Caenorhabditis elegans: one gene and its partner. The protein of the gene in region 1 interacts with the protein of each later gene in a pairwise test. Each region holds a gene or a part of one and is shown in the gene's direction. Other genes may lie near its edges.

Evidence for each region.
Region 2: the proteins of abhd-14 (region 1) and ech-6 interact in a two-hybrid assay, tested with the Caenorhabditis elegans proteins (one large-scale study listed by BioGRID).

The regions. Positions count from the first base shown.
Region 1 is NC_003282.8:1,026,958-1,032,137, reverse strand, and holds abhd-14 (AB hydrolase-1 domain-containing protein), read left to right. Parts: upstream 1-2,098; 5' UTR 2,099-2,121; coding exon 2,122-2,277; intron 2,278-2,334; coding exon 2,335-2,456; intron 2,457-2,508; coding exon 2,509-2,710; intron 2,711-3,865; coding exon 3,866-3,953; intron 3,954-4,017; coding exon 4,018-4,190; 3' UTR 4,191-4,351; downstream 4,352-5,180.
Region 2 is NC_003281.10:9,751,052-9,754,750, reverse strand, and holds ech-6 (putative enoyl-CoA hydratase, mitochondrial), read left to right. Parts: upstream 1-1,867; 5' UTR 1,868-1,875; coding exon 1,876-2,178; intron 2,179-2,224; coding exon 2,225-2,435; intron 2,436-2,483; coding exon 2,484-2,782; intron 2,783-3,004; coding exon 3,005-3,058; 3' UTR 3,059-3,199; downstream 3,200-3,699. Other genes in the region: vps-53 (Vacuolar protein sorting-associated protein 53 homolog), read left to right, coding at 1-347, 555-923.

The DNA.
Region 1 (5,180 bases):
ACTTTGCATGCAAATTCCGCTCCACTTTCTATCCCTTAATTGTCCATCCATCCAATTTTACCCCCAAAACGGTATGGTATGCGAGAAACTGTTAAAACGACCGTAAAATGCCTTCGACACCGCCGGCGGGGGAATTCAAAAAGAAGCAATATACATATGAAAGGGTGAAGGAGGGGAGGAAGAAAAAGTCAGCAAAACGAGACACAATACCCCCTTCAATTTTATTCTTTTGAAGTCTCATACTTTTTTGACTTAGTTTTACACAATTTTTGTTTAAACTTTTGAAAGTATCTCTGTTGGCTTTGGTGGCTCATATCTCGGTTATCTTTAGTGGTATCAAAAATTTGTTAACTAACAAAATGTTTGTTAAGTATTTTTCTATGATTTTCTAGTTTACGGTTTATTGATATCTTTCAAATAAAGCGAGATATGACCTGCCAAAACCAAAGTGAGAAACATGATGCATCGACTGACTCAACGTCGGCAGCTCATATCTCGGCTGTCTTTAGTTGTATCAAAAAGTTGTCAACTAACAAATTACTTGTTACATTTTTTTATTATAATTCTGTAGTTAAACTTTTTTTTTGATATTTTGATATCTTTAAAATAAGCCGAGATATTAAAGGTGGTGTAGTCGAATTTGAGACTATGCTTAAAAATCTTCTTTATGCTCGTACAAGTCGATATGAATAAGCGAAACATCACAAAAATTTCGCTAACGGAAGTTATGAGCCTTCAAAGTGCCGAAAAAAATCTCTTCGTCCATCTAATTTGAATTTCGCGCGCAAATGAGCGCCCCTCGTGTGTACTCCTCTCGGACAATCACATAATTAATTTATTGCTTTTCGGCAATTTTAGGTGATTTTTCGTACTTTAATGAGCCTATTCTCGTTTTTTATTGGAAATTTATGTTTCGAGAGACAATAAATCGTATTTTGTCAAATATTTAACGTAATACAGTACAAAAAATGGAGTAATAACTGGATAATTCAATAAAATGCTAGTTTTGTCTATTTTTTGGTGTAATTGAGCAATCAATCGGTTCAAATTATATTCATAGACTTTCACTCTTTGTTATTTCCATTAAAACACAGAAAAAACTATGAAAAATCTTTCAAAAATACGAAAAATCGCCTAAAATTGCCATATTTGATTGTCCGAGAGGAGTACACACGAGGGGGCGCTCATTTGCGCGCGAAATTCAAATTGGATGGACGAAGAGATTTTTTTCGGCACTTTGAAGGCTCATAACTCGCTTTAGCGAAATTTTTGTGATGCTTCGCTTTTACATATAGACTTGTAAGAGCATAGAGAATGTTTTAAAGCACAGTCTCAAATTCGACTACACCACGTGGTCGCTGGCTGTCTCAAAATTGCTATTTTCTCGCGGACGAGAAAACGTGAAAAAAATGAGCGAAATGGCCTTGAAAACGGTGGAAGAGGAGGATTCCTCGTCCCCCCGGTCGCGTAGTCCTCTCGGAGAAGAAAATAGCGTGTAAAAGATGAGACGCAGACAACGAGACGGTCTCATTTCTTTTCTTCGCTCGTCCGAGTGAATTTCACCGACAATATTCTGAATGGGGCGCGTTTTCATCGAAATTATGCAAAGAGACAGCCAGCGAGCACGTGCTACACCACCTTTAATTGTCAACGTGAATGGGTGTAAAACATGGTGCATCGACCAAAAAATCATCATTAGGTTTACTCTCGGTTATTTTATGAGTTATTATAAAGCTGTCAACTGACAAAACATCGGTTACATCCTTTTCTATGACTTTGTAGTTAAGTTAATTTTTTGATATGTACAAAATTGAACAAGATACAAGCTATTAAAGTTATGTGACGCATGCTCAAAACTTACCGTTAAGCTTTAATGGCTCATATCTCGAATTTCTTTGGTTTTATCAAAAAATTGTCAACTGACAAAATATTGGTCAGCTTTTTTTCTATAACAATGTAGTTTTTCATTACTTTATATTATTAAAACTAACCGAGATACAAGCTTCCAAAGTTAAACAATTCTAAATCCTTTCTTTCAATAAGCTTTGTTTTATCTCAATAATCTAACAAAACTATCAATTTTTCCAAATTTTCAAATTTTCAGCCCCGATCAATACAAAAATGGTTCTTCTCCACCACCAACCCCTAGGATCCCACCACGCCACCACCAGTGGGGGTTCTCTACTGGAACGAGCCGACCTTTCGCACCCAATTCCAGAAAATGCGCGGAAACTTGCACAGCTGGTGGAGTATGATGAGAGCCGGGTGGAGTTAGGGGTGAGATTTTAGCTTTTGCTTTAAGTTAATTTTGTAAAATTAGAGTTCGAGTTTCAGACACATTCAGTATTCGTCCGAGAAGCCCGTCCACCTGGAGCACACTATTCCAAGGCTACAGTCATCTTTTTACATGGACAGAGCTTCTCATCATCTACGTGGACAGAGAATAATTTGTTGAGGTGAGGTTTTTCTTGATTTCTAGCTTAAAATTCAAGTTTTCAACTATTTGAGAACATTCGCGGCTCTCGGCTACCGTGCCATAGCCATCGACCTTCCCGGCTCGGGCCAAACTCGCGGAGCAGCTATCCCACAAGCTGAGAAACCGAATTTTTTGATGGATTTCATCGAAACGCTGGGTCTGAAGCAGGTGATGATTGTGTGTGCTTCGATGGCGGCACAATATGTTTTGCCACTGATGACTTCTACGAGACATGTGAGTTTTTATCAAAAATTGAGATTTTTGGTTTCGAGCATTTGTCTATGTCAAGTTCCATCAGTTATATCTTTAAAAAAGATATCTAAAAAATTTCAGAAAATGTTTTTCTGCAAATTCAAATTGCCTACCATAGTTTTTCATAAAGTTTTAACATCCAGCTAAAATTATTCTATGAAAATGTTGCTTCCCGCGCGTCAGAGTGCTCCATTTCGGTTTGATCTAAGTAGATCTACAAAAAATGCGGGAGAAGAGGCGCAGAGTTCTCTGCTGATTCGCATGGTTAAGAACGTGCTGACCTCACATTTTCTTGGGCAAAAAAATCCCGCATTTTTTGTAGATCAACCCGTAATAGAAAAGCCTGGCACCACAACCAAAATTATATTCTTCATAAAATTTGAAATTGCCGCCAAGAAATATTTTCTCATAAAACTTTGATTTTTAGTAAAAATTGTTCTGGAGAACATTTGAATTTCCAGCAAAATTCTATTTTTCCAGAAAATTTGAATTTTCCGCCAACCTAACAGTAATTTTGACAACTATAACTTCTCGATGAGCAATTGTCTATGTCGACTTCCGATTTATGATTTTCCTTAAAAAATTAATGTTTTTGAGCAGGGGTGTGCGGCAAATTTGCCGAATTTGCCGAATTAGCCGAGCACGGCAAATTTCAAAAAAGTAGATTTGCCGAATTTGCCGAGCTCGGCAAATTTCGAAATTTGCCGCACACGTCAAAAATTTAACAGTACAATTTTGGCTAAAATTATTGATTTTTTCGCCAAAAATTTAGTAAAATGACACAAAATTGAGTTATTTTTATGCTTATGCAGACATACTACACGGAACTTATTCAGAAACCAGATGTGTGTTAAGAATTCGGTAGTTTTGGTGTTCCAAAAAACATCAAGAATTATCAAAATTTTCCGAATTTGCCGAGCTCGACAAATTTGCCGAATTTGCCGTGCTCGGCAAATAATGAAAAAAGAGATTTCCCGAATTTGCCGAGCTCGGCAAATTTTGAGATTTGCCGCACACCCCTGTTTTTGAGTAATAATTTTATCATACTCCTATTAACTATTTACAACATCAAACATAGAACATTGAACACAATTTGACACCAAATATTGCTCGTTCAATTTAATTTCACTATTGTAGCTCTCATGTGTGGTCCTAGTCGCCCCATCAAACACCCACGAAGTCGTCAGCCCTTCTTCCTATACTGTGCCAACTTTAGTGGTTTGGGGTGAGTTTTTCTTTCTTTTTACTGTCAAACAAAAAAATCATTGTTAACCTTCAAATCTTTCCAGGCGAACGCGACACGTCTCTGGGCCCCACTGCAGCTGCAAATCTCAAGAACCTTCCACAAGTGAAGCTTCAGAAGATTCCAGACGCCGGACACGCGTGCTATCTACACAATCCAAAGTGCTTTGAGAACCTTTGCGTGAACTTTTTCGACTTAATACGCAGCTATCATCATTAAGGAGTTCTGGAAATGTTGGTTGTCTCTGTGCCATTTTTCGTCGTTTCCGGTGAAATTTTTTCAATTCTATTCTGATTGAGAAAATATCGATCTTTGATCCTCTTTCAAACTCTCTTTCATTTTTTTGTTCACTTTTTGCCTGAAATAAAATGATTTTTTATATTGTCCTGAAAATATAAAATTTCGGGAGTTTTTAGCTGATAAAATGCTAAATTGACGCAAAAAATTGGCGTAAATGAATATACAAAGGATGTTTAGCTTAATTTTCTGAAATTATGAAAAATTCTAATGACATTTCCGATTATCCTGTCATTGTTCGTAGTCGATGCACCATGTTTTGTGTGTTGTTTTTAACGTTACTTTGTCACAAAAATCCACCAGGCAAGTGTCGGCTGCTTAATCAATCGATGTTCTATATCTCTTCAAAATTTGAATTCCTCCGGCGTGAAATCATTTGCGCGCGAACCTGAAATGCAGTCCCTTTAGTCCTTATTGCTAAGTTTGAGCTGGTTTTTCTCTCACTTAACAAAATTTTCCAATCTTTTCTTTGTTATTTTTGTTAGTTTTTAGGGACCTAATCTGTAAGTTTCAGTAATTTACCCACATCCACTACTCCAATTCTACCATCATCGATTATTGCAATATTAATCAGACTCCAACCAATAATGTAGTGTAACCGGTGGTCTTTTTCCATATATTGAGTTTTGAAACAAGACGTGCGGTTACACTCACCATTGGGAGGCATGGTTTTTCCGGAATATGAATAAGGACTCTTACTAATAATGTAGTGTAACCGCTGATCTCTTCTCGATAATCAATACTCGGAAGGAGAAGAGTGGTTACACTCACCATTCCTGAGAGTCATGGTTGTTGGATGGAAATACGAATAGCACAGAGACCTTAGCCAATAGTGTAGTGGAGCCTTGCATCTTATTCCACACGTGGTGTCAGGCTGTCTCATTTCGGTTTGATCTACAAAAAAAGCGGGAA
Region 2 (3,699 bases), on another chromosome or scaffold:
CTGCAGTGGATTGTGTAGGTGATGAATCCCCATTTATTGGATCAATGCGGGCTCATCTTCGACAAGCAGTTCCTCTCATTCGGGATATGCTCTCCGATCGCCGAAAATATTTTGCTCATTTTTGCCTAAAACTCGCAACTCAACTTGCTCACAAATTTGTTGGATCATTATTCCGTTGCCGAACAATTAGTACTCATGGAGCTGAGCAACTGTTACTTGATACTCATTCGCTAAAAACATTTTTGCTCAGTGTACCATCAATTGATAGTATTATCAACTCAAAACCACCAACGGCATACGTTACCAGTGTGAATGCAGCTCTGACAAAAGCTGAAATGATTTTGAAAGTGAGACATTTTAGATTTTTTAAAGAGATCGAAAAATCAAAAAATCAAAAAACAAAATTCGGTTTTTAAACATGGGTTTTAATTTAAAAAAAAATTGTGAATTTTCCGGAAATTCGAAAGTCAAAATAAGTTTAGAAAGACCAAAATTTTAATTTGTTGTTTTCCATTTTTCCAAAAACGCGAAATTCAAAATAAATAATTTTTCAGGTAGTAATGTGCAGTTTGGAGACTGTCGATGAATTTGTTGAACAATATATTAAACTTCTACCAGCGTCGGATGCAGCAGAAATGCAAAAAGTTCTTGAAATGAAAGGAGTTAAACGACAAGAGCATTCGGCAGTTCTCAACGCTTATCGATTGAAAATCGGTGCATCTGGCTCGGATCCAATTCAACAATCGAATAGTCTAACTTCTCGGATTGGTGGAGCACTACCAACTGTTGGAAGTGCAGCATCTGTATCTGAAGCATTCAATGCAGTTGTATCAATGGCAGCAGATGGATTGTCTGATCAAGCAGTGACGTCATCAATTGATAAGCTTAAAAGATTCGAAAGACTAGTCAAACGACAATTGTGATTGTTGATCTACTACCAAAGAACGAAATTTATAATTTATTTACATAATTTTATTTGAAAGTTTCTCAGAATACTCATCGGAGTTTTGTATTTATTTATTTATTCATGTGAAATGTTTTAATAGTTGTGAATAAGATTTCTAATTCTTACTTTTTATACTTTTTGTTTTAATTTAATTTTTATGGGTTGTTCTCCGAAATTATTTGATTTTTTATTATGCAGTAACTCAAAGATACCGTATCCTCTCTCGCCACAAACGAAATATTTTGAAGCCGTGAAAAAAGGAATGCTCCTTTAAGTAGTACAGTAACCCACTCTCTGTTATCTCGCGCAGTTGTCTCTGCTTTCCCCTTTTTGTTGTAAAATTTTACCAATAAATAATTAGCATACCAAATTGGTCTGCTAATTATTCAGCATACCAAATTGGTCTAAATCTTCGGAATTTTATTTTTCATGTGTTTAGAAAATAAAAAACAATTATTTGGATCTAAAAAATTGCTATGTAAATTGCAATTATAGTACTCTTCAAATGCGCACATCTTTTTGTATTTCACACAAATTTGTCGTGTCGAGACCGGATATGGTTTCTTTTGGCAAAAATCTAAATTTTGCGTCTGTGTTATTTAATAACAATTATAATTGTTCCAAATTAGAGTCTTCTTGACGAAAAAACGTAAAAATTGGCACGTTTAGACACGTTGTATAACAACAAGAAAAACCTTTAAAAAGCAGTGTTTTCTTGTTTTTATTGTTGATTAGTTCATAGATCACAGTTCACACTGTGTGCTCTATCGTTCGTATATCTCTCACTGTCTGCGTCTATTTTCATATCTGTTTCGTTCACTTTTGCATCTTTTACAATTGTCTTCTTTTTCTTGAATACTTCCAATTTTCTTCTCATTTCTTAGTTATCAACATTTTCCAACTCAAGTTCTGAAATTTCAGAAATCAAGATGATGCGCTTCTCGTCGATGCTGGTTCGCAATGCCAAATTGTGTGCAAATGTCAACCAAATGCAAGTCGCCGCATTTTCAAGCAAAGCTCCTGAAATGATCAAGATCGAGAAAGTTGGAGAGAAGCAAAATGTTGCTCTTATCAAGCTGAATAGACCAAAAGCTTTGAATGCTTTGTGCGCTCAGCTTATGACTGAATTGGCTGATGCTCTCGAAGTTTTGGATACTGATAAGTCTGTCGGAGCAATTGTGATTACTGGAAGTGAGAGAGCTTTTGCCGCTGGAGCTGATATCAAGGAGATGGTTAGTCAGCGTATAATCCAATTTTTTAAAAATTATCGGATTTCAGACCAATAACGAGTTCGCCACCACATTTTCTGGAAGCTTCCTCTCCAACTGGACCGCTGTCAGTGATGTGAAAAAGCCAGTTATTGCTGCAGTGAACGGATTTGCATTGGGAGGTGGAAACGAGTTGGCAATGATGTGTGATATTATCTATGCCGGAGAGAAGGCTCGTTTTGGACAACCTGAAATTAACATTGGAACTATTCCAGGAGCAGGTAATTGACAATATTTTAAAATCAAATTTTTAAACGTCGATGATTCAGGAGGTACTCAGCGTTGGGCTCGCGCCGCCGGAAAATCATTTGCCATGGAGGTGTGCCTTACTGGAAACCACGTGACTGCTCAAGAAGCTAAGGAGCACGGTATTGTGAGCAAGATTTTCCCAGCTGATCAGGTTGTCGGGGAAGCTGTGAAACTTGGAGAGAAAATCGCTGATCAATCTCCACTGATTGTTCAAATGGCAAAGGAGGCCGTTAACAAAGCTTATGAGCTTACTCTTCAAGAGGGACTTCACTTCGAAAGACGACTTTTCCATGCCACTTTTGCCACCAAGGATAGAAAGGTAAATTATCAAAATGAATTTTTAAATTGCAATCTAGTTTTGTAGATAAATTATTTAAACTTATTTATTATTACGGTAGAAAAACTGCCAAATAAATACAGTGATCAAAATATTGTTCCAGTTTTTATTCCACCTTCTCTTAAAATGAAATAATCAGTTTCCTACCTAGTTTAGTATTTTTCTCGAAAACCTGATAAATTCCCCTTAAAAGATGTTTTTCAGGAAGGAATGACCGCTTTTGCCGAGAAGAGAAAGCCACAGTGGGAGTCGAAATAGATGCGCATCTACAGATAAGAGAAGAAGATGATTCAAAGTGCCTAGTTGAATTTCTTGTTTTATTATTTTTATTGTGTTTTGTATTTTTTCTGTATTTTACGGTTAGTTTCTTCTGCCATTGAAAATAAATATATATGTAAAGCTGCATCTTCACGATTTTCTGATTCCTTTTTTTTTGTAGTCAGTTTCGATTTTCCATATTTGTGATTTGTGATTGTTTATGTTTTTTTTTTGAAAAAAAAATCAATTAAACACTACAGAAACACTACACACTTGTATGCTGAATAATAGCATACCCACCTTGGGTCTGCTAAATATTAAATTTGTGATTTCTGATTGTTTATGTTGTTCGAAGAAAAAATCAATTAAACACTACAGAAACAGTGGACAGCGATGTGGCTTGACTGGTTCTTTCCCGTGAGTTTTGTAATATTTAATGGCCGGCAGGGAGCAACATCAAGCGGCAAAGTTTGAAAAATCTTCCCTATCACGATTTATTAAGTTCAGTTTCAGTTTCTACTGTACAAAAATGTTTTTATCTACTATACTAGTATATCATTACCTAACCACCAATTTTCGGCCGCCCTTTCTTAGTTTCTCTCAATCTCTTCTAATATTTTCTATATCTGATTACCTCTCTC